6 separate regions of the Mus musculus genome follow, and regions 2, 3, 4, 5 and 6 are each reported to be linked to region 1. Evidence: microRNA targets listed by miRTarBase, many of them from high-throughput screens and not tested one by one. Region 1 holds a microRNA gene; each other region holds the end of a gene's coding sequence.

Region 1 (5,072 bases):
ATGCCCCCAGCTCCTTTCCACCTTTTGTTTGGTGGGTTGCCAGGTTCCCAGGTTGACCTGTGTTTGTATTCCTCCTACTTCAGTGTCGGAGTGACTGGGATTGCAGGCACCTGCTGCCATGTCCAGCTCTGATGGGATGATTTTAGCCATGCTCCACACTTACAGTACTGCAGGAAGTTCTTTTAGCAAATAGCAAATCAGCCAGTTGTGGTGGTGCATGCCTTTAATCCCAGTACTCGGGAGGCAGAGGCAGGCAGATCTCTGTGAGTTCAAGGCCAGCCTGATCTATAAAATGAGTCCAGGACAGCCAGGGCTATTATACTGAGAAACTCTGTCTTTAAACACCAAAAACCAAACGAACAAAAGACCAAATACCAAATCAGGTGAAGGTTTCCACTGCCCCCAAACCCTAGCTGACGTACTACTCCTGGTGTCTGAGTTTGGAGACCCAAGTTACAATAGCTGATATGCACCACTTCCTGTCTCTGTTTTATGTTGTCCCCTGACACCCCGCCCCCTCAGGTGACTCCACTGCGCTTTGGGAAGGATGTTGATGGGAAGTGTCACAGCCTAACGGCGTCGTATGTGCGGGCACAGTACCAGCAGGATGCCAGCCTGCCTCACTGCCGCTTCTATGAGGTACAGGGAAGAGCCTAGAACTGGTGAGCAGGGTGGGGGCCACGCCAGAGCCGCTCTCCCTGACCCTGCCACCCTCTGGCCTTGCCCCAGGAATTTGACATCCATGGACGCCAGATGCCGCTCCCTGCGGGCATCTACAACCTGGATGACCTGAAGGCCCTAGGGCAGCGCCAGGGCTGGTGCCCCTACTTCCTGGCTCGATACTCGGTGAAGAGTTGTTTTGTTTCCTTATGAGGCAGGATCTCATTTGTAGCCCAGCTGGCCTCAAACTTGGAATAACCCTGCCTCAGGTTCTCAGCTGTCAGGGGTATAGGCATGAGCCACCGTGCCCATCCTTCTGCTGGCCCATCTGTCTACTTGACTCTGTGCTGTTACGTCTTTATGTCTGTTGTCTGGATCGTCTGTCTCCGTCCTAGTATCTCTGCTTTCTTGTGCCTTGCCTGGGTGGTCCTTGATGTGTTTATAAAAAGATAAAGGGGGAGATATGTTCTATGGAGGTGTGGGGAAAGGGGTGCCTCTGCAGGCTCATGCTGAGGCGTCCCTTACCCCTGAGGGACCAGCCACCACACGACAGTATAGTATAGAATAGGGTTTATTCAGGGCATGGGGAAGGGTGTCAAGAGGATAGTAGAGGCAGAGAAAGGCGGGGGAGGGAGGGAGGGGGGGGTTGCCCATGAGCACATGGAGAGAGATGGGGGAAGGGACTAGAGGATAGAGCAGGGGCAGGAAGGCAGAGCAAAGCAAGAAAGCAAGGGGGGGGGGGCAAGAAGCCCCTTTTATAGTGATTCAGGCACACCTGGCTATTGCCGTGTAACTGTGAGGTGGAGCTTAGACAAAAGGCTAACAGTCCTGTCCATCTTTCCACCCGTCGTTGTGTCTGTCTTTGTGGCACCTCTGTGTACCTGGGATAGAGTGGGTGTGGCGGGGGTAGCAGAGCCCAGGGCAACCTCTCCCTTCATGTGCCCAGATCCTGCATGCCAACGTGGTGGTTTACAGCTACCACTACCTCCTGGACCCCAAGATCGCAGACCTGGTATCCAAAGAGCTGGCTCGCAAGGCTGTTGTGGTCTTCGATGAAGCTCACAACATCGGTGAGGAGGGCGGGCATCAGGGTGTGCAGACAGTGGCAGCCCTCTGCCTCTGCCCCCAGGCCTGCCTGAGCCCGGCTTTCATCCCTTTGCTCTTTCCTCAGACAATGTCTGCATTGACTCCATGAGTGTCAACCTCACCCGCAGGACTCTGGACCGTTGCCAGAGCAACTTAGACACCCTACAGAAGACCGTGCTCAGGTGCCTGTCTGCTCCCACTGTTGTGTGTGCCTCAGTGCCCTGGGCACCTGCCTCATTCCAGCTCCTGTCCCATGTCCCCATCAGGATCAAGGAGACGGATGAGCAGCGGCTGCGGGATGAGTACCGGCGCCTGGTGGAGGGCCTGCGGGAGGCCAGTGTGGCCCGGGAGACAGATGCCCACCTGGCCAACCCTGTGCTGCCGGACGAGGTGCTGCAGGGTGAGCTACTCCCCACTCCCCCACCACCCAGCCCCTGCCCCGCACACGCACCCCTGTACCACCTGACTGGGTCTCCCTGCAGAGGCTGTGCCTGGCTCCATCCGTACGGCTGAGCACTTCCTGGGCTTTCTGCGGCGGCTGCTGGAGTATGTCAAGTGGCGTCTGCGCGTGCAGCATGTGGTGCAGGAGAGTCCACCTGCCTTTCTGAGCGGCCTGGCCCAGCGGGTGTGCATCCAGCGCAAGCCCCTCAGGTGCGGCCTGCACGGGGAACCACGGGCCCAAGCCTTGTTGCTGATGATAAAGGGGTCTGGACCATAGATAAGGCTAAGGGGCAGGTCAGAACTGGATGTGGAGGGCATCCATTGGACTGTGTGGTTGGCAGTGAGTGCCGCAGCCACGTGTCCCTATGTTGGGTGATGAGCAGGTGACACAGCCTTTGTGAGGCTAAGAAAGTATGTGGCTATTCCTCCTTGAGCGTTGGGCCCGTGACACTGGCTGGACAGAAACAGAGTGACTGCTAGCTGGGAGTCTTTTTTTTTTTTTTTTTGGTTTGGTTTTTTGAGACAGGGTTTCTCTGTGTAGCCCTGGCTGTCCTGGAACTCACTTTGTAGACCAGGCTGGCTTCGAACTCAGAAATCCGCCTGCCTCTGCCTCCCGAGTGCTGGGATTAAAGGCGTGCGCCACCACGCCGGGCTCTAGCCGGGAGTCTTAACAGGATATTGCGTGTGAGCAGTGAGCCTGTGCACTGTATGTGCTGTGCTCCAGCCTGGAGTGGTAGCTCTGGGGGTCTTCTACAGTATGGGGTAGCTTCACACAATGCCCAGGTGCCCAGGGAAACATGGTGAGAGTCGGGCCTGTTGCTGCTTCCCGCTCCTGACCCCGTTGCCTCTCAGGTTCTGTGCTGAACGCCTGCGCTCCCTGCTGCACACCCTGGAGATTGCCGACCTGGCCGACTTCTCCCCGCTCACACTCCTTGCTAACTTCGCCACTCTCGTCAGCACTTACGCCAAGGGTGAGCTCGCCTTTCTACTGGGGATCTGACAGCAGGACTTGGGGGTCAGCCACATGGGTGGGGCATTAGCAGGGGGCAAGACCATACAGAGTGCCTGAGTGAGGAGCCTCGTGGTCAGATTCTCGTGTTCAGAGAACAAGTGTGTGGGCTGTGCTGTGGCACTGACCAGAAGGACACTAGGGGTCACCTCACCATCAGTGGGGTGAGGAGTCCTCGTGTGTGACTGAGGGCACCAGGGAACCATGGCAGGTTCTGGGCAAGGGATGCACTTGGTGAGATTGTTGCTTTCGAGGTTCATGTAGCAGGAAGATGCAGAACTGTGGACAATGGGGACAGGAGAGTGTGCTGGGGAGAACTATGGGAGGAAGAGGCCAGGATGGAAAAGCATGGCGCTGGGCATGAAGCTCTCAAGGGAGGCAGATACAGACTGATGATCCACAGAGGCCTGCCTCCCAGGACCTTCTGGGTCCGTCACTTGGGTCCATCTGTCATGTTTCCTCTGTCCATGTGTTGTGTGCTGCCCCACCCCCCCACCCCCCCAGCTCCACACTGAGTTTTCAGGCTTATCCCTGGGGATTACTGCCGTAGCCAGGAAACCAGGTCAGCTGGCATCCTGCAGCTGGGCCAGCCTGGGCCTCGGAAGGAGGAGGCCCCCCCCATCAGCCCCACTGCAGGCTGTTGGCAGCTGCCTGCTTCCTTAAGCTTTCAGCACTCACCATGCCCCTTTCTTTGGCCTTTGTCTCTTCCTCCTCCCCCACCTACAACATCACAATCGGTAGAAGCCTCCTTGTCTACGCCTCCTATCACCTGCCTGAGTCCTTCAGCTTTCAGAAAGGCACCCAGCCCACCCTATGCGAGGCCTGCCCCTTCTCTATTCCAGCTGCGCCTGGGATCATTACTCTCTGGATAGCTGTCTCCCCTAGTACAAGGGAGCTCTTATGGGTGGGACTGAGGCTGTGTTGGTCACTGCTGTGTCCTTGGCAAGGGCTGGACACGTAAGACCCGATCATTTTTGCCAAGTGAAACAGAACCCATGAATGTATTCATTTGTTCAGTTAGCAAATGGGGCCAGGCCCAGCACTACTGAAACAGCCTCATCCTCCCCTTCCCGGAGTCACAGCCTGGGGGAGAATGAGGAGCAAAGATGGTTCCAGGTGACCCTGGGAAGTGGAGCGGTGCTGCAAGGAGCCATGGCACTGTCCTCTGGGGCAGGGATTCAGCCAAGTGGAAGCTGGCACAGCAGCTCAGGGCAAGGGGGCCCTCAGGTGTCTCACAGTGGGACTCTGGAATATGAACTATCCTTGTTTTTCTTGTCCTTGGTTGTGAAGTGTTATCCCAGTCATGGTACCCTGTGCTGGCAACAGAAAAAAACCAACAACAACAACAAAAAAAGCCAGTCAGGAAGGCACCCAAGGCCAGGTCCACCTGGTTACCAGCCTCTTACTGCCAAAGCCATTGCTGCTTCCCTCAGGAGCGGCCCTCTTCCCTGCCTCTACTTAGCCTGTGTTGGTGGCAGAGAGGCACGGTGAGGAATGGGAGGGAGGAAAGCAGGCAAATCTTGCTCTTCAGCCTGGGAGAGTGCATGACACCCTTCTGGGGTCATGGGAAGTGTGGAAACTGGCAAACTTGGGGTTCCATGACATGTCTCTGGTTGCTCTGCGGGGACAGGAGTGAGAGCCTGGAGGACAGAGGTGCCTGGGGAATGGCGGGCTTGGCTACCTGCGGGACCATGTATGAAGCCACAGCTCACTGCTTCTGCACCTGAGGGTTTGCAGAAGTGGGCAGGCTGGGGCAGTTCTGTCCCGGGGTGATGAGTGACTGAGACTCCCCGGCCTCTCCCTCCACCAGGCTTCACCATTATCATTGAGCCCTTTGACGACAGGACCCCCACCATCGCCAACCCCGTTCTGCACT
Region 2 (5,072 bases), not on the chromosome of region 1:
AATCTGCTACAGGTGAGGAAATTAAGTCTACCCCAGGCCTGCCCAATATGAGGTATGGAGTAGCCCCAGCTACTCATCAGGTGTGAACTTCGACTATGCTCCTCACACCTGATGGGGAACTACAATCCTGGATTTGGTTGGTTCAGCCACTGGGGTCCTGCCTTCTGGCCCCTAAGTGGTTGGGGCTTTGGCCAGTCGTCTTTTCAAATCTCCCTCCACCCTAGTCACTGGGCATATCCCTAGACCCAAATGCCTAGTAAAGTCCTGTACCTCATGGTTTCGTCAGCCTGGTTCTCACCTTATGCTCAGCTCAAGGTGCTGTTTTGAGTAGGTTTGGCTCACAGGAAGTAGCACTTAAGGAAGTCTGGCCTTATGGGAGGAGGTGTGGCCTTGTTAGAGGAAGTCTATCGCTGTGGAGGCAGGGCTTTGAGGTCTGATGTGTATCCTCAGGCTCCACCCAGTATGGAAGGAGAGTCTCCTGGCTCCTCCAGATCAAGATGTAGGACTCTTGGCTCCTCCAGCACCGTGTCTACCTGCACACTGCCATGCTTCCTGCTATGATGATAATGGACCGAACCTCTGAACCTGTAAGGCAGTCCCAATTAAATGTTTGCATTTATAAGAGTTGCCTTGGTCATGGTGTCTCTTCACAGCAACAAAACCCTAACTAAGATGGCCCCCTAGCTCCCACTTTATACCCTCCCCACCCTGAACTGGGGCTCAAACCCAGCATCTCTCTCATGCTAACCACCCCTCAGCCTTCAAAGAACTCTTCAAAGTTTTTATGGTTTTTAACAATTGTTTGTTGATGTATGTGCATGAGTTGTGGGCACGTGTACCATATGTAGAAGAGATCAGAAACCATCTTGTGGGAATTAGGTTTTCTTGTTCCACCACATAGGGCCTGGGGAATCCAACACGTCATCAGTCCTGGCTCCAAGAGCTCCTCCCTACCTACACAGAGGCATCTCACAGCCCCAGAGAACTCTTCACAGAAAGGAACAGTTCGAACTCACTCTGACTCCAACTCCAGGCTGGTCTTAAACTTCTGATCCTCCTGCCCCAACCTCCCAAGCTGAGATTACAAACTGCCAGGTTGAGATGCTCCAACTTCTGTTTGTTTGTTTGTGTGTGTGTGTTTATGTGTATGTTTTTCTGGTAAGGGTCTCACTTGGGAAGCCCTGGCTGTCGTGGAACTTGCTGTGTAGACCAAGCTGTGCTCTTTCTCACAGAGCCCCTATAGCTCTGTTTCTCCAGTGCTGGGATTAAAGGCGTGCTGGGGTGCACATTGGACAACTTTGCTTTTTTATAGACCTCCTCCCAGTTTTAAAAGAAAAAGATCCAATTTTTAGATTCAACTTCCTTACTGAAAAAAAAAATTGCTTTTTCTGTAAAGATGTTAGGTATAGGGCTGATGAGGTAGTTCAGCAGGCAAAGGGGCTGTGTAGGCAAGGATGGCTTTGAATTCCTGATCTTCCTGCCTCCACCTCCCAAGTGCTGGCATTACTAGATATTTACTCCTGAGCCTGAAATTTATGCTAATTTTTATTTTTGCACTGAACCTGGGGGCCGCCGTGCACATGCTAAATAAGTACTTTGCTGCTTCATGTAAACATGAACTAAAGTGCCTGAAGTTTTGAATACTTAAGAAATAATCATATAAACCATAGTAGAAGATGATCATCTAAATTGCTATCAGCTGATATCTCAGTCGGGCATGGATTAAAAATTATGGCTGGGGCACAGCTCATCGGGCTGAGTCTCACATATGCAGGTTCTGGGTTCAGTCTGTAGTATGACAATGAGGTAAAATAAAACTACGTCTGTGTCAGAGCCATGTAAGGACCCCGTGTTTTTTGTTTTGTTTTGTTTTGTTTTGGAGACAGGGTCCCCCCTCCCCATCACACAACCCCCATGGAATGGTGTTTTGCTCACATGTATGTCTATATGCCGGTGTTGGGTTTTCTGGGACTGAGAATTCTGACAGTTGTGTGCTTCCATGTAGGTGCTGAGAGTTGAACCAGGGAGGGTCCTCTGGAAGAGCAACCATGCTCTTAAACTTGGAGCCATTTTTTTTCCAGTGCCCAGAGTTTCTTTGTATAGCCTTGGCTGTCCTGGTACTCGCTGTAGACCAGGTTGGCATCGAACTCAAGAGATCCGCCTGTCAAGCACTGAGATTAAAGACCTGGGCCACCAAATCCAGTATGACCCTTGGCCTTTTGCAGTCAAGGCACCCTTCAGGACAGGGATCTATGGTATGTGCCTTCCAAATCTGTTCAAATACAAGTGTGACTCAGGACAAGGGCAATCCCCTGTGGTGCTATTACAGCAGGGGCCAAATCTCCACTGTCGGCCTGGGAGGCCCTGACACTGCTGGGAAAATCCTGCTTTTCTTTTATTGATTGATTGATTGATTGATTTCTGCTTTTCTTGTCCCCATAATCCCTAGGCTTCGAGCATTTGGCTCCAGCTTAAAAGTGGAACTCATTGTGAAAGAGACCACCAGGCAACAGATAGAACAAAAACATATCCTGGAACAATTGAATTTGCTCCCTTAGTTTATTTATGCTGCATCGGCCCAGAGGCCAGATTCACATTCAACATGCAAGTACTATAAAAGTCCCCAGGGCTCACAATTCACCTACCCTCCCATCAAGGATAGAACTGTTTGGAGATGGTGCGGGAAGGGTCCCCACTTTGCAGATGGGGAGACTGAGGCCAGACACAGCACAGGTGCTGTCCCTGTCACCTGCTGCTGCTCCTCCTTTGAGTCATTGCTTCACCCACTAGGATCCTGCCTTACCTTGACACCCAGAAACAAAACAAAGGGCTCCAGAACCTTAACTACTGACCTACCCAATACACATTCAACCTCACAGCATGAAGCCTTCCCTAGGGCCTGCCAATCCCTGTTCAAAGGGGCCGCATGTCCTAAGAGCTTCGGGAAGCTGGACTGACCCTGTCCTCTGACTGCTTAGAAAGCTGAGCTCTGGCTTCTCCAGAAAGTCCGATTCTGAAAAATGAACCAAACCAATCTGACATTCACTGCTGCTAAAGCGACGTAGGCAGAGGAGGGAAAGGTGAAGAGAAGGGAGGTCCCCCAACTGCCCGTGGCCTTGGTGCATCTGGCCCATGATCTGCATGCTTATATGCACAGTCCCATTCTACAGACTTAACTCAGTATGGCTTTCGGCCTCTCCTCACAGTGGAGCAGGATGGTGTTTTGGGAATTCTCCTGTTCTTCACAGAGTTCTACCAGAGTCATTCTCTCCCACCGCCACCTCCCACAGAGGAGCCAGACAGGGTTCAAAACAACACACCCACCCTCCCTCCCTCCCTCCCTCCCTCCCTCCCTCCCTTCCTTCCTTCCTTCCTTCCTTCCTCCCTCCCTCCCTTTCTCTCTCTCTCTCTCTCTCTCTCTCTCTCTCTCTCTCTCTCTCTCTCTCTCTCTCTCTCTTTCTCTCTCCTCTTTCTTTCTTTTGGGTTTCTATATGTAGCCTGGCTGTCCTTGAACTCACTCTGTAGCCCAGGCTGTTCTGGAACTCAGAGTTCCAGTTGCCTCAGCCTCTTGAGTGCTGGGATTAAAGATGTGCACCACCAGAACCCAGCTAAGAGGACAGTTTCTTATATCTTTCTTTATCTCCACTCCCACCCCTGCTGCAGCCTCCGCCACTGTGCCAGTTCCCTCCCTTGAGACCAATTCTCCACAAATTGTCCTGTGCACAGGAAGGCCAGTGCAGCCAATAAATCTCTGAACCGGGGCTAGGTGTGCAGCTCAGTGGTAGGACATTTGCCTAGCATGCACAGGGCTCTGGGCTCAATTCCTTGTACAGTAATAAGCAAAATAAACAAAAAGCAACCACCCCAAATTAAAAAAAAAAAAAAAACTCTTAGGAACAAGCCAACATTAGGGACAGTGGTCTTAGAGCAAGGTTGGAGGGGAAGGGATAGGAAAGGTAGCCTGGGAAACTGCAGGAGAACAGGTCAGCCACAGCCCTCAGAACAGGAGAACAGGCCACAGCCCTCAGATCTATGACAGTGGGAGAGGCTTCTATCTCTAGGAAGCTGGGAGGTGAGACTCAGTAGAATATAAGGCTGGGGTAGACTTTGGGAACACAGGAGATGGGTGGACGCCCTGCAGGTGCAATTGAACATACATTTACACACACCTGCCCTTAAGTCTCTGCAAACACACACATTCCTAGCACATGTTTCTTATGCCAGCACTGGAACGTGTAAGTCTCAACACACACCCAACACAAGCCTGTACATATAAACTGATACACATGCATATATATCTTTTGTCTCTACATTCAGGAATATATATACACATTCCTGGGTACCTAGCCACACATGCATACATAAACACACATGCCTTACATACCTGCTTACATGTTAGCATATAGATATTCACTTATGCTTACTTGCATACATGCCAGCTAATACTCACATCCTTCCTTGTGTATAACCACTCAAAAGCCTGCAAATGCACACACTTGTGCACACACACACTTGTGCACACACACTTGTGCACACCCTTAGCCCTGGTCCTGGTGCCTGCAAGGTGCTTCCCTCTGTTGCAGACAGCGGATAAGCTCCTTCCGGTTGTCCAGGATGGTGTCAAAGCTCTCTTGCAGTCGGGCCTGCTGGTCGACCAACTGGTGCTGCAGAGCCCGGATCCACTGGAGCAGCGCCAAGCGCCGATACATCACCAAATGCGCGTGGTGTTTCTCCTTCTCCTGTTCTTTGTAGCGCTCCTGAGCCTGCAGCTGCTGCACGGCCTGGGCCACGGAGGGCAGAAGGGGATCCAGAGGGCTCGGACCTCGAGGGGTATCGCAGACAGGTTCTGGACTGCTGCTGAAGCTGTCGATGCTCAAGGAACTGCTGGCATAGCCAATGTCCTCCAGAGGAGAGCAGACACTGCTGGCACCGCTCAACTTCTCTGGCTCAGCACCAGGGATCTCCGCACCCTCCGGGGGACTGCGGACTCCGGCCTCAGGGAGCCTGGTGGCTTGGAAGACCTGGTTATCAGAGGGTGACTCAGAGGAGCTCCTTATCAGAATAGGATCCAC
Region 3 (5,072 bases), not on the chromosome of region 1:
TTTTTAGACTACAGGGCAGTGTTTTACAGAAAGTTCCCCAGGTGCAGTTTGATTACTTTCTTATGATATAACCTGGAACGGCGGGATGGACAGACGCCCTGCTCCGGCCATCTGATCAGCAGATACATGCTGTGATTTCTCCTGGTGATAGTGGTGTGAGCTTTGGTCACTTGGTTAAATCTGCATCTACTGTCTTTCTTGACTGCAGTAGAGCCCTTTGCGTCTAAAACACAATTTTCATGGAGGTTCCCATGCAGCACTGACCCAAGGGCTCAGTATCGGTCAGAACCAATCGGCACTATTGCTGTAGAAGGTGGTCAGACACTGCTTCTTAGCTGTTAACTCCTGTGACCTTTGCCTCTTCCTCAAGGGTTCTCAGCCATCTATGAGAGCATAGGGTCCCTCAGACAAGTGCTGGAGGCCAAGATGAAGCTGGACAGGGACCAACTTCAGAAGCAGATCCAGCAGATGCAGAAGCCAGAGACCGCCATGTGAAGACGGCTGGGACAAGGACCTGACAGGAGACTGCACGTGGGGCTAAGAGCCAGATGGCTCTGCAGCCACATCGTGGCTATGTTCCGGATCCCATCCAGGGTGTGCATGTGCCAAGAAATGCGCTCTCATGGGTCTAAGCGTTTACCTTCAGTCTTGAAAACACCCTTTACTTAAAATCGTAAATACAATTTTTACAACGTTATTTCCCTAAGTGCAGTTGAGCCCGATTCCCTCAGATTTTGAAAGGCTTTTATGAATGAAAAGAATTTATTTTCAATGCTTGATGCTCTAGCCAAGACTACTATTTTGGAAAAAAAAAAAAAACCCACCATGGTGATTTTTCTTTTGATTAAAAAGTGAATGAGTTGCTACAGGTATGTATTGCCCCTCACCCTACATTAAGAGAAGTCCTGGTAGAGTTCAGCTTTAAGTCCACATCTGGATTGTATTTTTGTTGTCTATATGGTTTTTTTTTTTTAAATGTTGGGTTTTTTTTTTTTTTTTTTTTTTGTAAATCACCTGTCTTTTGTAGAGAAGAAGTTTAACACTGGGAGAGAAAAAAAAAAGCCCTGCAATTTATATAATGAAAATAGTTTTTTAAAATTGATAATTGCCATACAGATTATAAATTAAGTAGAAACTTACAACGTTTATCTAGATCCCACAAGGCACGATATTTATATCCACCTAGGGGTACCGGCTTTTACTATTTAAAGCTATTTTTGAAACCACTCACAACCTGTGTAGTGATAGCCATATATTTAATAATGGGATGGTGGCTAAGCAACCTGTTTATCGAACAGCTAATTGTTCATCAGTTGTAATGAATGTTAGAATTTTTCAGACTTTACGATTTACCTAAATGTTCCCTAAACAGGCACTACGTGCTAGGGTTTATAGACATTTGTTGTAACTGTCTATCTTGTGCCTTGGTTTTTTTTCTTACGTCGCTGTACTGTCCTCTGTAAAAAAAAAAAAGAAATTACCCACAAAATAGACAGTGTGGTAAACACATCAGGGTTGTGGTGTAAGACTGAGATCCTATGTAATTTTAAGCATCCTAATGATTTCATCGCTGTCATGGTGGGCCGCACTCAGCATCCTTCATGGAATAGCTGCACACACCTTTGTATGGACAGAGAGGCAAAGCGAGACTACATTTGTAATACTGCGAGGAGACGGGTGTCCCGGCACCTTTGCAGGCGTTTTATTTTCAGTTGCCATGTTTGAGTCATTGAAGACTTGAGCCTGTGCCATTTGCACTTCTGTGTTAAAGTGAGGGCACAGAGAGAGAGAGGGAGAGAGAGAGAGAGAGAGAGAGAGAGAGAGAGAGAGAGAACAGGAGCATTTAAAAGTTCCAAGAACAACACCCCATCCTTTCCTTTCCTCTCTCATGTGCAAGGACTCAGGAAAATCAAAAGCATTTTCTATTTCTAGAATAAACCACACTGAGATTCTACCTGGCTCTTACTGTTGACCCATGTAAGATATGCTGCTAAAGTACCTAATATTCTACTCTTGGGACCTTGAAAACTTTGATTTGAGTTTGGATGCATGAGAGGTTATGTGAGGAACATGTACCCATCCTGCATTTCTTCATCTCCCCACACATCGTTTCGTCTCCATGCAGGAGGATCTGCCCACCTAGGAGAAGTCAGCGATGCTTCGTGACCAGACAGTGTGGTTTCTTCTTTCCCTGTGTGCTCGGCTAGCCATGTTTTATCGAGTGATTAAGCACAAATCTCACTCAGGACAGGGCCACACCTCCTCAGTGTCTCTCTCCCCTGGGGACTCTAAGGGGGAAGGGTGAGCACACAGGACACTTGGGAGGAGGAGACAGGGGACACCTGCTGACCCTGGCCTAGCAGGTGATGTAAGCAGGTGACACAGCTGCTGGTGATACCGCCAGGTATTCGAGACGTTGCCGACCATGTGACAAGACACTGTGGCAGGGACCCTCCACCCTGGCTGCTTGGGGTCACTTGGGGAGTTTAAAGAGCAACTGACACCAAACAACCTCCTGACCCATTAAGTCAGAGCATCTGGGAGGCAGTCACCAGCACCAACCAGTATGTGTCACAGCCCTATCCCGAATCCCCCCCACCCCCCCACCCCCAGCGATTCTGTGTGCTATGGGGAGGCCAGCCATCCTGCGAAGACAATGGAGTACTCTTCTCGCCAAAGTTTAAAGGAGAATCAGCTGCCCTGTCTTTTCCTTTACCAGAGATTTGCAATAAAGAGAATAAAATTTCCAAATAAGTGTGGCATGGGACTTTTAAATGCGAAGAATCTTTGAGTGTGGGAAGAAAACCTTGGCAGGCCAGCTGCCTTAGGGGACGTACTGCTTGATTTTCTCGAGGCTGCCTCTGGAGTCGCGCCAGTGAGCAGTTCCTGGATGGCTATGTGCCAAGGACCTTTTTAAGTCTGTGTTGAGGCTCTTTTTAAAAATTTTTTAAAATCCCATTGGGTGTGTGCGTGTACATATGTGTATGCGTGAGTATACGTGTGTGCACGTGTGATACATACGTGAACATTGGCTCACGGAGGTCAGGAGAGGGCATCGGATCCGTTGGAGCTGGAGTTACAGATGGTGGTGAATCACTTGACATGCGTGCTAGGAACTAAACACCTGCTCTCTGGAAGATCAAGTGATGCTAGCTGCCCACCATCCCCACAGCCCCTCGCTGAGATGCTTCTGTGTGCTCACTCATTTTGTTTAACAGTGTCTAGTATATACCATTGTCCGTCATTTTACAGTCACGGAAAAATGGCACAACTTACCTCAAATCCTACTGCTCATAAGTAGGAAGCCCGACTCTAGGAAGCACCCGATTATGCATCCTGGCTTTTCTATCTGACAGGCCATCACCCCCAGCCTCTGTCTGACCATCCTTGCTCATTTCGCTTATTTTTTTAAAGACATTCTCACATAGCCGACATTGACCTTGAACTCACTATGTGGATGAGAATGCCCTTGCACCCCTAATCCCCCTGCCTCTATTTCTCAAGGGCTGGGATTAGAGGGGCGAGGCACTGTGCTTGTTATTGTTTTAAATTACATTTTATGTATCGTGTGTGTATACACACATAATTGTATGCATGTGGGGGGTGCCACAGTGCACATACAGAGGTCAGAGGAAACCTGCAGGAGCCAGCTGTCTCCTCCCACTATGGGTTTTATATACACTGATGACTAGACCACTCCTTGGCTCGGCTAAGGGGAAGGCTTTTGTTGTGGATATGAGATGAGGCCAGCCACAGGCATCTGGAAAAATCTAGATCAGAGAGAAAGGAGTAGAACGGACAGGACCAGGGTTCTGTGAGAGAGGGAAGACCGTAAGAGACCAGAGAACCAGAGAGAACAGAGTGTGAGAGGCAGGAGCTGAACACAGAGAAAAAGCATAGCAAGAATTGCAGAGTTCTAGGGAGAACAGAGGATCTGGGGAGGGAAGCCATGAACTGGAGGGAGGGAGGGTCCAGGAGGAGGTGAGAAGGACTGGCATGGGAGCCTGAACTTTGAAATGTATAACAGGGACTGTGACACTAAAGACTCCAAGAGCTGCTTGGAAACCAGCATGAGGTTTGCTATGCTAATAGGCACCACAGGTGGCCACGTCTCTTATTTATTTATTATAATTTATCTATTTTTATCTGCACTGGTATTTTGCCTTTGTGTGTGTCTGTGTGAGGCTGTCAGATCTTGGCGTTACAGACAGTTGTGAGCTGCTATGTAGGTGCTGGGGATTGAACCCAGGTCCTCTGGAAGTGCTCTTAACCGCTGAGCCATCTCTCCAGCTCGGTAGCTATATATCTTTTATGCCAAAGATAAGGGATATAACTCCTTTTGGTAGAACATCAAAGAAGATACTAGAAGGTATAAAGATCTCCCATGTTCATGAATTGGCAGACTTAAGATTTGAAAGAAGTCTCCGGGCGTGGTGGTGCATGCCTTTAATTTCAGCACTTGGGAGGCAGAAGCAGGCGGATTTCTGAGTTCGAGGCCAGCCTGGTCTACAAAGTGAGTTCCAGGACAGCCAGGGCTATACAGAGAAACCCTGTCACGAAAAACCAAAAAAAAAAAAAAAAAAAAAAAAAAAAAAAAATTGAAAGAAGTCGTGCTACAAAACAGCTTATTGATTCAACGCAATTTCCATCAAAGTTCCTATGTTATTCTAAACAGAAGTAGAAAAAAATACAAAATCCACACGGAAACACAAATGATCCTGAACTGCAGAAGCAAGCTTGAACAACGCTGAGCAACGATGTGGTAAAACACCACGGCCATAAACGATGTGGTGGTGAGGAAAGGGTTTGTGTCAGCTTACAACTCTCAGGTCGTGCTCCATGGCCCAAGGAAATCAGGACAGGAACTGAAGCAGAGACCCCCAAGGGAGAGGTGCTGCTTACTGGCTTGCTTCCAGCAGTTTGCCCCGCTTGCTCTTTTATACAGCCTGGGAACTCTGCGGAGGGGTGGGGTGGCTCTACCCACAGTAAGCAGGAACCTCCCACATCCATCATCAATCATGCTGCACAGACCTGCTGTTTAGATAATGGGATGACTTTCTTTCTTCCCAAGT
Region 4 (5,072 bases), not on the chromosome of region 1:
TCCAGAACCATCCAAAACTCTGTTTGTCAAAGGTCTGTCTGAGGATACCACTGAAGAGACCTTAAAAGAATCATTTGAGGGCTCTGTTCGTGCAAGAATAGTCACTGATCGGGAAACTGGTTCTTCCAAAGGGTAAGAAGGCGTAGTAGTGTTGCTGCTTTTTAGTGAATTCTGCATGGAGAACTTGGGTCTGCAGTATCTTCTCATTGAGCTCCTTTCTGTCCATCAGTGATAGATTATGGATTCGCACGAGAAGAAGAGAGAATTCACAGAACTGGCACTTATCTTCTGTTTTTGCAGAAGTATATTTGGCTGTTGTGTGAGACATTATGAGATACTGGCGATTTTCTCGACCTGAAGAGTACTTTGGTCACTCTACTTGGGTGACTTGGTACTTATTGTGTTACTTTAAAATGTGTTTACTTAATGGGTGAGGTTTTTTTGTTTTTCTTTTCTGTTTTAGGTTTGGTTTTGTAGACTTTAATAGTGAGGAAGATGCCAAAGCTGCCAAGGAGGCCATGGAAGATGGAGAAATTGACGGAAACAAAGTTACCTTGGACTGGGCCAAACCTAAGGGTGAAGGTGGCTTTGGTGGTCGAGGTGGAGGCAGAGGAGGTTTCGGAGGCAGAGGTGGAGGCAGAGGTGGAAGAGGTGGATTTGGAGGAAGAGGCCGGGGAGGCTTTGGAGGTAAGGAAGGGAAAGGAACTGGAAACGGATTCCTAAACCTGTGTCCTAACCAACCACCTTAAATGGGAAGGTCAGTCCTAATTGTATCACCCTTTGATGTTTTTCCTTCCTATAGGTAGAGGAGGCTTCCGAGGCGGCAGAGGAGGAGGGGGAGACTTCAAGCCACAAGGAAAGAAGACGAAGTTTGAATAGTTCCTTCCATCCCATTCTTTCCCTCTTCATTTTAAAGAAAGGACTCTGGGGTTTTTACTCTGTTACCTGTTCAATGACAGAGCCTTCTAAGGACATTCCAAGACAGTAAAGATCCTAAACTCTGTTGCCAGACTTAATACTTCCTAGAGGTTACATTTGGATTGTTGCTTAAGAGCTTGGCAAGACCAACTCTGCCCAGTGGGAATTTCAGTTGTGTTCCTACTGCTTTCAAGAATTCCCAGCTACAAATGTGGAAATTGGTGGGGAACAGCTTCATCATGATTCTGATCTGGAAGATTTAATTTGTATCTTAGAAGGGTGTGTACTGGAAAAGTGGTTGATAGAGCACATGGATCAGTGCTGGAAATACCATACAAGAGCTTGTGTGGTATGTAATTCTATTCCCAGCATAATAAGAACAAACAGTACAGTGCAATCTGAAATGACCTGGACAAGGAATGGTACCCCATTGGGTTGAAAAATTCACATAGCCAGGATGGTTGCACATGCCTTTAACCCCAGCACTTGGGAGGGAGAGGCTGGTAGATCTGAGTTTGATCTGGTGTACAGAGAGTTCCAGAACAGCCAGGGCTGTTTATTAGAGAAAAAACCCTGTCTTGAAAAAACAAGAAAAAAAAACCTCACAGACAACCAAATACAGAGTTTTAGCCACTGAGTACCAAGTCTCAGCAGCAAGCTGGGAGTGACGTAATCCAATCCCATGGGAGGCTAAAGCAGTCTATGACTTCAATGCCAGTTGGGTCTGCAGAACTGAGTTGCTGGATAGTGAGGGATACTTAGAAACTTTGTCTTGAAAAAAAAAACAAGACCTGTCAAATTTGAGAGAAGCTTTGGGAAACAAGGTTTGTAAGTTCCAACAGAGGGAACAGTGGCCTTTTTGACTTAAAGGTTGTCAGAGGTCCAGTTTAACTAGGGATAATACAGTGGCCCTTGGCCTGTGTACTTAATGAATTTTTCAGTGATCTATCAAGGATGTTTGGTTTTTTTGTTTTTTGTTTGTTTTGTATAAGGCATGGGTGCCTAGATAACCTTAATAGAAACTTTCCTGTAGGTGTTTTTCCAAGTCCCACTCCCAACAAACTGATTTTCAAGAAAGACCAGTCAGCTATTCTCAACCAAAGACCCTCTGTAGGGTTGCGCTTAGCACCTGTCTGGTGGCTTGAGTATGTGGTATGACCATTGCAGTCGCAGTCCTGTCTAAAAGTGAGGATGGCGTGGGCATTAGATTTGTGTAGCAGGGAACAGTTTGGTGGGTTCTTTTGCTGTGGGGAGTGGAGCCCTTGATTATGTTAACCTCCTTGTTAAAGATTAATGGCATGTAGCTGAAGGCACTCAGCTGTCATTAATCCTAGAAGGCAGACCAATTTGAGGCTAAGGAATTCCAGAATAGCCAGTGCTACACAGAAGACCCCCAAGACTACAATAGCAAAGGAAAGGTTCAACTCTGGTGCTAGCAGACATCATTTTTTTGTGGATTGAGGACATAGTTAACCTATAGGATCATCAGAAGATTTACAGTTGAATAGCTCTCCCTAAACGAGGCAGACATTTTAGAAAAGCAGCAAACCTTTCTGGAAATGGTTGTTTGCTTTCTTTTCTCATTCTTCCAGCAGGTGGCAACATGAGAACTGAAGAAAGGGTGGAGGGAAGGCAGTTAATCTGCCTTCACCTAATAGATAAACACAAAGCTCTTATTCTGGTGGTAGAGTAGCTTGTAGAGGTCTTTTAAAGAGCAACAAAGCTTTCTCATTTGAAAGATTCACTTCAGCTGGGCGTGGTGGCGCACGCCTTTAGTCCCAGCACTTGGGAGGCAGAGGCAAGTGATTTTCTGAGTGAGTTCGAGGCCAGCCTAGGTCTACAGAGTGAGTTCTAGGACAGCCAGGGCTACACAGAGAAACCCTGCCTCAAAAAACAAAAAGATTCACTCCTGACCATTTATCACCTGCTTTTGACTATACACTACCCCTTCAGTGTGGCTTTTTTCCTACGGATGCTAGTGATAGGAGTTACCTAATGTAGTTTTCAGTTCAATCTGCCTGAACCTTTTCAACTCTTAAGGAACATAGGCAGATGCTAAGGGTGTAGGTCTTGACCCTATACTGAGGTAGAAAGGAAGGGGAAATGGAAGAGGAGCATGTACTCTTTACTTCTAAGCTGGATCTATAGCCTTAGGATTACCATCTATAACAGGCTAATTTCATTCAGTTAGTGGTAAAACCCTTTGCCATAGAATAAAAGGGCTCTCAAGGTTCTAGTAGTAAAACAAGTTTTGGTTGCTGTCCTCCATTAAGTGCCTACTAAATGATAAGTGATGGAGAGGATGGAACTGATTCCAAGAAATACTCAACAGTGAGGACTTATAGGCCACTTAACCTGTGTGTGCTTGTGGGATATTTCTACCTTTTGAAGCAGGGTCTCTTATTTTCTTACTCACTACAAGCTTTCAAGTACTTCTGGCAATACGAATGGGATTAGCAATGCATGCCATTTCAGTGGCCTTATCTGGGTTTCAGGGGTCCTGGTCATCAGGTTCTCGCTGGTAAATCTTAAAGACCACCGTCTTTTTTTTTTTTTTTTTTTTGAGACAGGGTCTTTAGCTCTGTGGCCATCATGGAACTCAATAGGTAGACTAGGCTGACCTCAAGATGTCTGCCTCTTGAGTGTTGCATTAAAGGCCTGTGCCACCATGTCAGGCTCCATTATAGAAACACACTACTATCAGAAGGATGATAGGCTGAGGCCCATTTTTTAACCCTTTGAAAAAAATTCTGGCTGGGCAGTGGTGACACTGCCTTTAATCCCAGCACTTGGGAGACAGGCAGGTGGATTTCTGAGTTCAAGGCCAGCTGGGTCTATAGAGTAAGTTCCAGGACAGCCAGAGCTATACAGAGAAACAAAAAAAAAACAAGGGTTTATTGGGGAGGGAAGGGAAGTACTTATTTTGAATAAGGTTTTATTGTGTATCCCTGATTGTCTTTGAAATTAATTTGCTTCAACTCGAAGTGCTGAGACTGCAAGTATGTACAACCACAGTACTCTTAGGTTCTAACTGAATTCTCACCCATTATTTTTCAAATACGGCCTTTCAGTTTTATTCTCTACTGGACTCTTAGATAACCAGATACTGGCATTGAAACTAGTTTTTTTCTCTTTGAATATTAATTTGGATACATTCTATTGTTTTGGATTCTAGTTCACTGATTCTTCTGTTAGGCCCTTTAGTGAAGCTTTCAGGTGTCTTTAGTTTTTTTTTAATTTGTGTGTGTGGGTATAGTGTCTGTATTTCTCCATGTGCATGCAATGCCACAGGAGGCCAGAAGAGGGTGGATCTTCCAACCTTTTTTTTTTTTTTAAAGATTTTTATTTTATGTATATGAGTACACTGTAGCTGTCTTCAGACACACCAGAAGAGGGCATAGAATCCCATTACAGATTATTGAGAGCCACCATGTGATTACTGGGGATTGAACTCATGACCTCTGAAAGAGCAGTCAGTGCTCTGAACTACTGAGCCATCTCACCAGCCGCCTTCAAGTTCTTGTGAACCACCATGTGGGTACTGTGAATCAAACTTGTGTTTTCTGGACTCTTAACAGCTGAGTCATCTCTCTAGCCCTTCAAGTGTTTCCTTTCTCTTCTAGGTTTCCAGTTTATGAAGCCCCCATTTTGTCATTTAAATTCTTTTCCTGCAAATTCCTATACATCTACAATCATTGAAGTCATTTGTAAATTTTTTTATGTGCATTAGTATTTGGTCTTTATGTGTGTGAGGAGTCAGACCCACCATGTTACAAACAGTTGTGAGCTGCTATGTGGGTGCTGGGAATTGAACTTGGGTCCCCTGGAAGAGTGACCAGTGCCCTTAAGTCGCCCCTTATTTGTAGTTTTAACAGGAGTTATGGTTGAGTACTTGTTAGGATTATGAAGAGTTGTTTCTCTTTCATTGCATGTCTAAACTGGACATTGACCCATATTTAGAGGCCAGCCATGTGCTAATTCAAGTACATTTTGTACTGGCATTCTTAAGTAGCTAGCAAAATCTGAGTTTCTGTTTTTCATAGAATATGATGAGATTTACTTTAAAGCCAGGTAATGTGTTTATCCTGAGAATACCAGCTGTGTATTTTCTTGAGCCAACCAAATTGAAAGTGAGGAGTTTCAGTGATTAAACA
Region 5 (5,072 bases), not on the chromosome of region 1:
TTGCCCTCATGAAGTTTGGCTCTAGGTTTTGCCCCACAGCCCAGGGCTGTACCTCTACTGCCTCTTGCCTGAGTCTTTGATGGGTTTGTTTTAGGTTCATGGGTTCACTGTCTGAAACCGGTTACCCCTGGTCTTTTTAGCTTGTCCCAATCAGCCATTTGAGTTATCAGTCATTACAGTAGCATTTACAGTTCCTTGTCCTTTGGTCTGCATAGGTGAAGTCATGAAATCACTGAAAAAAGCCCATACATTTATTATAATATTAAAAGTTAGTGACTGCATGTGTTTATTATAATACTAAAAATTGGTGATTGCATGTAGCTCCATTCCTTGTTTCTAAAATACTTTAGTCATATAATTATTTGTACCGACCCTGAAACAGCAATGCAAAGCAATCTGGAGAAAACCAAAAGGCTTAGCTGACATAACTGACGTGTCACCTCAGGGCTGATGTTACCATTGCATAACACGCTATCACGAGAAGAGCTAGAGCCTTTTAATCTCCTGACTGTGTGGTGCAAATGTCTGGCAGCAGTTGCTAGGATGCTCCAGGCCTCTACCTGCTACATTGCTATAGAAGTCTGCAATGTGCTAAAAGTTCTTTACAAACCATGTAATCACCCGATGTGATAAAACTAAAGCGTGCATCTCCAAAATAAAACAATCCCCAAATGGGGTGTGCGATCCCACAGATTCACCATGCTCCAGTTGTATGCTCTAACTGAAAAGGAAAAACTGAAAAAGGAATTCAAAAGAGACGATAAGGCCTGGTGTGGTGGCTCCTCCTTAGAATCCCAGCACTCAAGAAGCTAAAGGAGAAGGACAGCAGTGGGGATGAGGCCAGGCTGGGTGGCAGACACAGGTACCAGACAGTGAGAGCAAGAGGAAAGGAGAAAGACGGGAGGCACTGCCCGGGAAGCAGAGAATGGAGCAAACCGACATCAGAAATAAGCAACACAGGACGAGCATCTATAGCAATGAAGTATGATGGCATCCAATGAGAGGGAAGGGTATACTGCATTCATCACGGGGGAGGGAATTTCCTAACTACACGGGCAAAATGAAGAGTAGATCCAGTGCTTGCTGGAGAAATGAAAACGAAAAGAGAGGATGCCTGGACACTTGCCTTTAACCATTGACTGTTAGAACGTGAATAATAAAGCACAGTATATAATACCTGAGGATGTACCTGGAAGCAAATTCAGAACTGAAATCTAAGTAGCACATCTTGGGGCTTATTCAAATGACAGGGCAGCTTAAGTATTAGGGTTTTATAGGACAGTTCCAGGCTCTTCATTTTCTGGGAACCCTAGGTCCTTTTCTGGGCAGCATGGGCCCAGGTCAGAACAAAGCTTTGTGACAGTTCAAATAAAACATCGACCCAGATGTCCCATAACAGAATAATAGATACAGAAAATGTGGTTCATTTACCCAATGGCATACTACTCAGCTATTAAGAACAAGGACATCATGAATTTTGTAGGCAAATGGATGGAACTAGAAAATAATCATTCTGACTGGGGTAACTGAGACCCAAAAGGACATGCATGGTATGTACTCACTAATAAGTGGATTTTAGCCAAAAAAAAAAGAAAGAAAGAAAGAAAGAGAGAGAGAGAGAGAGAGAAAGAGAAAAAGAAAGAGAAAGAGAAAAAGAAGAAAGAAGGAAAGAAAAAGAAAGAAAAAAGCTCAGAATACCCAGGATACAGTCCACAGGACTCAAGAAGGTTAACAAGCTGAAGGGCCCAAGTGAGGATGCCCCAATCCCACTTAGGAGAGAGAAAAAAAGCAATCATTGTTGGGGGATGGGTCAGAGGGAGGGAGGGACTTGGGTGGGAAAGGGAATAGAGAGGAGAAAAGGGGAACATGATGAGGTATTACAGGGAGGGTGGTGGTGGAAGGAAGACAAGACTGAAGTCCTAAGGGCCAGCAGAAAGAATGGAAACAGACAAGAGGTAGGAGGTTGCAGGGACCCTCTAGAATGTGCAAGAGACCTCGGAGGTGAGAGACTCTCAGGATTCAAAAGGGAAGGACCTTGGATGAAATGCCCTACAGAGGGGAGAGGGAACTTGTAGAGTCCACCTCCAGTAGAAAGACAACATTAAGTGGAGGGATGGGGTTGCCATCCCACAGTAAAAAGCTCTGATCCAGAATTGTTCCTGTATGAAAGAACTGCAGGGATGGAAATGGAGAAGAGACTGAGGGAAAGGAGGTCCAGTGACAGGCCCAAATTGGGATCCAGCTCAAGGGGAGGCCACCAAGGACTGACACTATTACTGATGCTATTGTGTGCTTACAAACAGGAGCCTAGCATGACTGTCCTCCCAGAGGCCCAACAAGCAGCTGAAAGAGTCAAATGCAGATACATAAACCCAACCAATGGACAGAAGGTGGGGACCCCTGTAGTTGAATTAGGGGAAGGCTGGAAGAAGCTGAAGAGGAAGGTGACCCTGTAGAAGGACCAGCAGTCTCAATTAACCTGGAACCCTGAGATCTCTCAGACACTGGACCACCAACCAGGCAGCATACACCAGCTGACATGAGGCCCCCAACACATCTACAGCAGAGGACTGCCAGGTCTAGGTTCAGTCAGAGAAGATGCACCTAACCCTCAAGAGACTAGAGGCGCTAGGGACTGGGGAGGTCTGGTGGGGTAGGGGTTGGGGGGTAGGGACATCCTTTTGGAGACAAGGGGGGGGGTGGGCGCAGGAATGAGGTATGGGATGAGGAACCATCACAGGGCAGACTGGGAGGTGGATAAACACTAGACTATAAAAAAATAAAGAAAGAAAGAATTTTTTAAAAAATCTGAAATGAATCTCAGGTTTACCACTGTAAGACACATCAGAAAGCATTCCACTTTGACATGTAACCTGAGCATTAAGTATTAACTAAACACATAGTAAGTTAGCAATGAATAAATACTCATGAAGTGACTGAATATATAATATATGCATATATTTTATATATATATATAAACACTATCTGAACATATATTTGTGAAACGAGGATGAAGATGCTTATGGAATGTTTATTTCACCAGTTGTAAGTGAATCGTTTACTTGGATGGTCAGATTCACATTGTGCCAGAAACAAGACAGATACATTGCTAGCGAGAGAAGACTTAACCATTGTTAGCTGCCAAACTGTAACAACAAAACCCTGGGGATGCTTTTTACTCAAATATACCTTTGCATACTCAGAACTACTTTAATGGTAATTAGTCTTCTCTTTTCAAAGATAGGGACCTGAGTGTACTGTCATTGCCTAAAATGTCCAAGGCACATACATAGCAAGGCATTTCCAGCAAGCCAAATGATTAAACATTTGGAAAAAATTCTCTCTCTCTCTCTCTCTCTCTCTCTCTCTCTCTCTCTCTCTCTCTCTCTCTCTCTCTCTCTCCTCTTTCTCTCTCCCTCCCCTCCTTTCCCCATCTCTTTCTCTCCCTTTGTGTGTGTGTGTTTGTGTAAAACCTAATACGCTATTAGAGAATACTTGGAAATTGAGTTGGAAGGAAGACCCTACTCCCTGTAGTTAAAGGCAGATCATTAATTAAGATGTTCATTTCAGTTCCTTTCTTGTGTTAAAGATCATGAGCAAATGACATTCAAAAATGAATGCCAACAATTTTTAAAATGAAACCTGCTTGGTTTTACTTATTCTTTATTACTTTTTAATTGTGTGTGTGCATGCATGTTTGCACTGGGATATCTGCAGGTGAAATGAAGGTGACCATGGGGCCCGAGGCAGTAGTAAGCCACCCAACATGGGCGCTGGGGACTTTAGTCCTCCATAAGAGCAGTACATGAGTATTGCTGAGCTGTCTCTCCTCCCCTGACATCTGGTTGTAAAATGAAAGCATGCACATTATTAAAAATTTGGGAGATACAGAAATATATAAAGGAAATTAAAGTCATCTAGAATCTTATTAGTCAAAAATAAACAGTTAATATATTCTTACTTCACTTTAGTCTTTTTCTGACAATTTAAGCTGACAGTATTCAAGATCTTTAAGTATAATTAACAAAAGTTTGGGGTAGATGGCAAAGAAGAACTTGGTGACAGTATTTGCCCCTCATGATCTATAGGTTTTTAGGAGGCAGACAGTAACCATTCAATATCTCTAAGTCATAAGGCTTTCAACAAGTAAGTCGTAAAACTTATACTTTCTAGTATGTGGACTGCCAGGTTCATTGGTTTGTTTTGCCCAACTGTGGATGTATGCCACTTAAGAATACCCCACACAAACTTTAACCACATTCCTCAGGGAAAGAAACAATAACAGCTAAGATGAAAAAATTTCATATATCACAAGAAAATATGTAATATATGTTAAACATTTTGCATACTTTATATAAAAGAGGGTTAGCAGGAAAATAAGGCATGATTGATAATGGCTCAGGAGGTTCTGACTGGTATAACAGACTTGTTTTTATATCATTAAACTTCAAAGGAATTTATTATCAAAATGAAAAATGAAGCTGTGGCTCTATATAAAGTCATAATCCCGTTCAACGGTTGTCAGGGAGTGGCTGTCGGTGGGGTCTGCACACAGCACTGAAGGCAGAGAGGAAGCAAGGGCGAGTTCCAGTTGGAATGTTGAATATATTCAGACAGTTTGCTCTTGAGTTAGACGGTCATGACACACTGGATGAACTGAGAAAGAAAACCAGTGTTACACTACGGTCTGCAAGGTACTGAGGGTGCCATAGCCTCTGAGGTGCCATAGCCTGTGAGATACCATAGCCTGAGGTGCCAGAGCCTCGTGATGTCACAGCCTCTGTGGTGCCACAGCCTCTGTGGTGTCCCAGCCTCTGAGGTGCCATAGCCTCTGTGGTGTCACAGCCTCTGTAGTGCCACAGCTTGTGAGGTGCCACAGCCTCCCTGTGGGCAGCTTCCATTTTAATTCTCTATGTTGGCATCAAGGGTAAACAAGAACAACACAAGTCCCAACTTTCTACGTCATGCCTAAATGAAGGGTGGGAAGGTTCTTACTTTTAGGGAAACTTTCTTTTGTAAAGTCTGACAAGTTTCTCACATTATGGGAAGGAGGAATCACTTTTAACAGATAA
Region 6 (5,072 bases), not on the chromosome of region 1:
GTTTGTGCAGGAATAGAAGCCCTGACTAAGACAAGGCCTTGGTCAGTGCTCCAAAGGTTTCTGGAGTTTGGCAGATCATGGGGTAAGAGTGGATCAATACAATAATCCTGTTCACTTCTCAGAAATGACATCAGTGTTCGCCTGCCAGACAACCCCAGTGTCGGATTGACAGGTGACAAAGTGTACAGTCACAACCTGTGGGATGGTTTCTATTTTGATTTGGATATGAAGTGCCCACCTCACCGAGGCTTGCTTGCCAAGAGTTCGGGGGAAATGACTGGATTAATGCCTTCGTTGATGGATCTATAATATAGCGTCCTTCGGAGGTGGTGCACGGGAGAGGTGCGGCCTAGTTTGAGAAAGGAGGTTACTACAGGTGTGCCCTAAAAATTAGTTACGCTTGTCCCCAATTCCTTGTCTCTCCCTGCTTACTGCATACCATGAGGTAACTTTGCCCCAACACGCCTTTGTGCCGTGTTTTTGTTTCATCCAGGGCCCAGAAACACAGAGTCAGATAAGGACAGATTGCCTCAAGTCAAAATATATCCCCATGCCTTTCTCTCAGATGTTTGGTCAGTCAGGAAATATGACTAGCAGAGCTTCCAGTCAGCCTTGCCTCTCCTAACATTCCTGCCTTTGTGCTGTTTTCTGTGGTAGTCAACAGGACAGACCTGTATTCCTGACTGACTGATGTTATGCAGGGGAAAGTGTGTGGCTTCCAAAGCTAAAACCTAAAAGGCCCTGTAGCTTCTACCTGGCTCTCTCGGATCACTGACTCTGGGAAGCCAGGTCACGTCACGAGGACACACATTTCTACGTTAATCCGTGAGGTGAGCAACTGAGACCTCCTGCCAGACAGCTAGAGCCAAGTTTCCAGACCTGTGAACGCACTCTCTCAGTTGGAAATAGAGCCTCCTGCCCAGTCAGCCCTCCAGATGTCTATAACGTAGCCCATAACTGGATGACGACTGTGTAATACTGCATGAGACACCTCTGCTGCTCCTGTGTTTGTGACACATGGGAACCATGAGAGATGTTTGTCATTGTAAGGCCCTAAATTTAAGGACAATGTTTCCATAGGAAGAGCTAACCAACATTTTTGACGCTAATATCTTACCCAAAGAAGTGCCACTTGGCACACAGTCAACCTCTGGCCTTCCCCACTGCAGACTATGGGAAAGGAAGGCAACAGCCGATGGCGTCTGAAGTCTAAATGCAGGTATCATTAAAGTCCTTACACGGTGGACATCCTGTGCCCACTCCATCCCGGAGCCATGAGCTACACGTAGCTGTTGAGCAACTCCATTTTTACATGTTAAAGAGCCATGGTGGCTGGTGGCTGCTGTGCAAACTGAGCAGGTCTAGCCCATTCAGAGTTCACGCTACAGGAAAAGCGGTGAACTACGAGAGCCAGAAACTCACCCAAGGGACTCGAGGAAACAGAACTTAGGGTCCCTAGAGAGATATGAGACCAGGTGCTGTGAAGGCCGACCACCCCCACAGTGAAGGGACTGTGAGCAATGGAAACCCTCTGATAGGCCCTCACTATGTGGATTCAAATCCTACCTCCGCCACTGGTGAACGATCGATTTGGACACGTTCTTTTAACCTTTCAGATGAAGTTTGTCCCATTTCTAACGACTGTTTCCTGCAGCTGTGCTAACAGGCCCAACCATGAAACACCAAGTTCCTGGCTGGTGTAGTTAAGTCCTCTGGCTGCTTCTTCCCATGGGGCCACATGGTGCCAAACCCAAGTCACCAAGGTCAACGGGCCACAAATCGAGGCTCCACTCTGCAAAGATAAGCTGAGGACAGGTGGGATCCTTGGCAACAGGCCCTTTACTGCTTATGAGACTCTCAAGTGTGACAACTATAGCACAGCCCACAGAGACCAGGCAGGTGACACGGAAATAGGCAGGAACTGTGTCACGAAAGAGCCAGTCTGGGGCCTTGTTTCCTCTCAGCCATGTCTGGTTATAGTACAGTCTTGACAGCTGGCAAAGTCGATTTGTCTTCCAGCTCTAAGGCTTTTATGAGAAGTACTACGATTTCTACACACAGGGACTCAACTGAGGGTTATTTTTTCCTATTTTGATTTATTAAGTAGCGTGTGTGTCCACGTGTGTCCAAGTGTGTGTGGCCCCCACGGTTCACTTGTGGCAGTCGGAGTGTGACGTCAGCAGCTGCTTCTCTCCCGTTGTGTCCAGGACTTACACTGGAGGCCTCAGGCTGGCGTGACAAGTGCTCTTAAGACTCTGAGCCATCCCAAAGGCCCGAGGGACTCTGTGGCCTGTGTTTGTTTTTAAACCTAGTGTTGCTTAATTAAAATGGGGAGAGACAGGATGTGCTGCCCAGAGCAACGGGCACATTTTCTGGCATCTCTCCTACCTCCAAAGCCCTACTGCTGTCTCGTGTCTGTGCCCGTGTCTGGCACCCCAAAAGGTCTCCCTCTGGCTTCATTGAGTTCAAGGGATACAGAATGAATGGCTTGTAAAAAAAACCCTTTAAAATGGGCTGGAGTGAAGCCTCAGTGGTTAAGAGCACTGGCTGCTCCTCATGGAGGACCTGCATTCAATTCCCAGCAACCACATGGTGGCTCATAACCATCAGTAATGGGGTCTGACGCCCTCTTCTGGCACGCAGGTGTACATGCAGGTAGAATACTCATACACATAAAATAAAAATAAAGCTTAAAAAGAAACCCAAAATCTTATAATGGCATCGGGTGTGATGGCACACCTCTTTAATCGAGGTAGAGGCAGGTCAGCCTCTTGAGTTCTAGGTTCACCTGATCTACAGAATGCTTTTCAGGACAGCCAGGGCTACACAGAGAAACCCTGTTTTGAGAAACCAAAAATAAAACTGACAGGCTGACAATCTAGAAAGTACCAGGTTTTATTATCTTTTTATCAAAAAAAAAAAAAAAAAAGATCAGTAACAGACAACAGTGTGAATGGTGCAGAAAAGGAGCAGGCACCAAGGCTAGAAGAGGACCCAGCCAGCTAGGACCCTGCACGGAGGTGGTGATGGGGGCCTCACAGGAACAGAGTATGGTTGAGAGTGGTGTGATCTCCCCACCACCCCAGGCCTTTTAAGCCACTAGCTCTCTCCTCTGTAAGAGGGAGAGTACCAGATGACAGGAGTCCCTGGGGCCTCATCACCTTTCTCCTGGTCCCCTTCCCTTGCCCAGGGAGACAAGCAAAGCTGAGCAATGACCTGCTAAACCAGCTTAACCCTCGGTGCCCGGGGGATGGTGACTGAGCATTTTGTGTGGCTAGTGCAACCGAGGAATGACTTCCAATCACGTAGTCTGAAGTGAACCGAGTTATACAGCCACACGAGGCCACTGTATTGGATTGTGCATCTAGAGCGCCTGGAGGAAGCAGGCCCAGGAGCCCCTCCTCCCCGGCAGAAGGCACAGTGAGGGTTCGAGTCAGGGACCCTAAACTACTCTAGCTCATTCGCAAGAAGGCACCGGGAACAGGGCAAGGTAAGAGGGCAGCAGCCTCTTCAGCCACACGAAAACTCACGCAACCATCCAGCCAACATGGGACCTGTAATATCATTCTATAGCCTAAAAAAATATATTTATCTATTCTTCTAGAACCAAGGAAGGATAATATATTACAAGAACACAAACAAAAATATCCCGCTATCCCCCTACATTATATTCTGGAAACTGCTAGAACCCTGTAGCTACTTCGTAAGATAAAGCAACTTCAGGAAGGGCCAAGGTCAAAAACAAGGACACGGAGCATTAAAAAAAAAAAAAAAAAAAAAACATGGGGGACAATAGAAAGATGAAAAGCAGCCCTGTCTGAAGCTATAAATAGTAAAAAACAAAAAAAAATCATAAAAATCATATCTCCAACTCTTCTCTCATTTTCAAAAAACAAACAAAACATAAAAAAACCACGAAACACAAACTTAGCTGTTGCAATGGAAATGTTCTAGATAGAACATCTGTGTATCCCCCACACTCAGCCCAGGCGCAGACGCTCCCATAAAGGAATGAACCATTTAAAAACTTAGTTTTATGAATCTCCTACAAACACACTTCAGTGTGAGCTTTCAGCACTTCACCCCGCCCTCCCTAGATTTTTTTTTTTTAAAAAAAGGTTGAATTTCAAAAGTCACTGGACTTAGAATGCCCCCAGGTACGCCACAGAGACTCTGCAGCGTGAGCAAGTTCTCATGGCAGACTCATCTCAAGGCGCAGAGGGTTCTGGCTCCTTGCCCCAGCTCCTGACAGATGGATAGGGTGTACAGCATGTGGAAGGGAGCCGGGATTCACACAGTAACCCCTTGCCTCTATAATCAAGGCAGTCATAGATGGGACATGTTTACTACAGGATCTAAACTGGTCCTATATTCTATTCTGGAAATTTGGAACAATGACAACAAAAGACCCAATTCTAGGCTTGCCTTCAGAAAGGGCAAGTTTAACCCCATTTTTCTGCCAGAGCAACTGAGACACAGACACACAGACACAGCCTCTCTCTCTCTCTCTCTCTCTCCCTCTCTCTCTCTCTCTCTCTCTCAGGCAGCACAGTAGAAGATCACATCTCTTCTGACACCAGAAAGGTGACTAGAGATGGAGATACTGACAAGTCAGCATTAAGGTGCCTGCTGCTCTCTGCCAACGCCCGCCACCCACAACCCTCCACTCCTCTCCCCAATAAGTCCAAGCAGCGCTCGCGGGAGGAAGCTTCATGCGTAGAACTCATTGGTGGGGGCTTTTTTGTAGATGGGTTTCTTGCCCAAGTCGTAACTGCCTTCGTCCTTCTTCTTCATGCGGTACACCAGCAGCAGGATCAGGAAAACGGCAAAGAGGATGCCTACCACGCCGCCCACGATCAGAGCTGCAGTAGGAGAGAGCAAGGGGTGAGCTGGCTCCAGGTCCATGTGCTCCTCAGCCCCGCCCACCGCCAGTCAATCTCACCATAACCACACCCCCTAGACCAAGCAAGAGGACACCTCATTAGCATCGACCTTCATGACTTCCGTCAGAGAGGAAAGACTAAGATCACAGCTAGAGTGGACCAACACCACTATTTCATCCCACATCTGCT

Evidence for each region. Region 1 holds the annotated microRNA mmu-miR-343 (UCUCCCUUCAUGUGCCCAGA, at 1,588-1,607, shown strand). A microRNA usually pairs through its seed, bases 2 to 8, with sites in the 3' UTR of a target mRNA and lowers its output. Matches are read on the target gene's strand: a 7mer-m8 pairs with bases 2 to 8, a 7mer-A1 pairs with bases 2 to 7 and ends in A, and an 8mer does both.
Region 2: miRTarBase lists 5730409E04Rik as a target of mmu-miR-343. Seed matches in the 3' UTR shown: 7mer-m8 at 3,686-3,692, 7mer-m8 at 3,390-3,396, 7mer-m8 at 3,354-3,360 and 7mer-m8 at 2,550-2,556.
Region 3: the mRNA of Fam81a is a reported target of mmu-miR-343. Seed matches in the 3' UTR shown: 7mer-A1 at 1,791-1,797.
Region 4: the mRNA of Ncl is a reported target of mmu-miR-343. Seed matches in the 3' UTR shown: 7mer-A1 at 1,410-1,416.
Region 5: the mRNA of Sri is a reported target of mmu-miR-343. Seed matches in the 3' UTR shown: 8mer at 3,442-3,449 and 7mer-A1 at 3,412-3,418.
Region 6: the mRNA of Sdc4 is a reported target of mmu-miR-343. Seed matches in the 3' UTR shown: 7mer-A1 at 4,514-4,520.

The regions. Positions count from the first base shown.
Region 1 is chr7:19,385,101-19,390,172 of GRCm38, forward strand. It overlaps Mir343 (microRNA 343), which reads left to right and starts at 1,543; the gene lies at 1,543-1,617. It overlaps Ercc2 (excision repair cross-complementing rodent repair deficiency, complementation group 2), which reads left to right. Exons shown (of 23, transcript NM_007949.5): 6 at 523-639; 7 at 730-846; 8 at 1,607-1,730; 9 at 1,832-1,928; 10 at 2,013-2,146; 11 at 2,229-2,397; 12 at 3,040-3,158; 13 at 5,007-5,072.
Region 2 is chr4:126,611,840-126,616,911 of GRCm38, reverse strand. It overlaps 5730409E04Rik (RIKEN cDNA 5730409E04Rik gene), which reads right to left. Exons shown (of 2, transcript NM_001145950.1): 2 at 2,541-5,072. The coding sequence ends at 4,539. Gm40250 (a long non-coding RNA gene) reads left to right here and starts at 2,127. Exons shown (of 2, transcript XR_868150.2): 1 at 2,127-2,255; 2 at 2,450-2,545. It overlaps Gm46870 (a long non-coding RNA gene), which reads left to right. Exons shown (of 3, transcript XR_001784444.2): 3 at 451-579.
Region 3 is chr9:70,086,190-70,091,261 of GRCm38, reverse strand. Fam81a (family with sequence similarity 81, member A) reads left to right here. Exons shown (of 9, transcript NM_029784.2): 9 at 371-1,952. The coding sequence ends at 495. Among named protein-coding and RNA genes, the nearest start is that of Gm39369, 5.7 kb to the right of the region's middle.
Region 4 is chr1:86,346,427-86,351,498 of GRCm38, reverse strand. Ncl (nucleolin) reads left to right here. Exons shown (of 14, transcript NM_010880.3): 12 at 6-132; 13 at 464-687; 14 at 803-5,072. The coding sequence ends at 879. Snora75 (small nucleolar RNA, H/ACA box 75) reads left to right here and starts at 214; the gene lies at 214-329.
Region 5 is chr5:8,067,117-8,072,188 of GRCm38, reverse strand. It overlaps Sri (sorcin), which reads right to left. Exons shown (of 8, transcript NM_001080974.2): 8 at 2,875-4,656. The coding sequence ends at 4,630. Among named protein-coding and RNA genes, the nearest start is that of Sri, 13 kb to the right of the region's middle.
Region 6 is chr2:164,421,376-164,426,447 of GRCm38, forward strand. It overlaps Sdc4 (syndecan 4), which reads right to left. Exons shown (of 5, transcript NM_011521.2): 5 at 2,872-4,862. The coding sequence ends at 4,711. Among named protein-coding and RNA genes, the nearest start is that of Matn4, 19 kb to the left of the region's middle.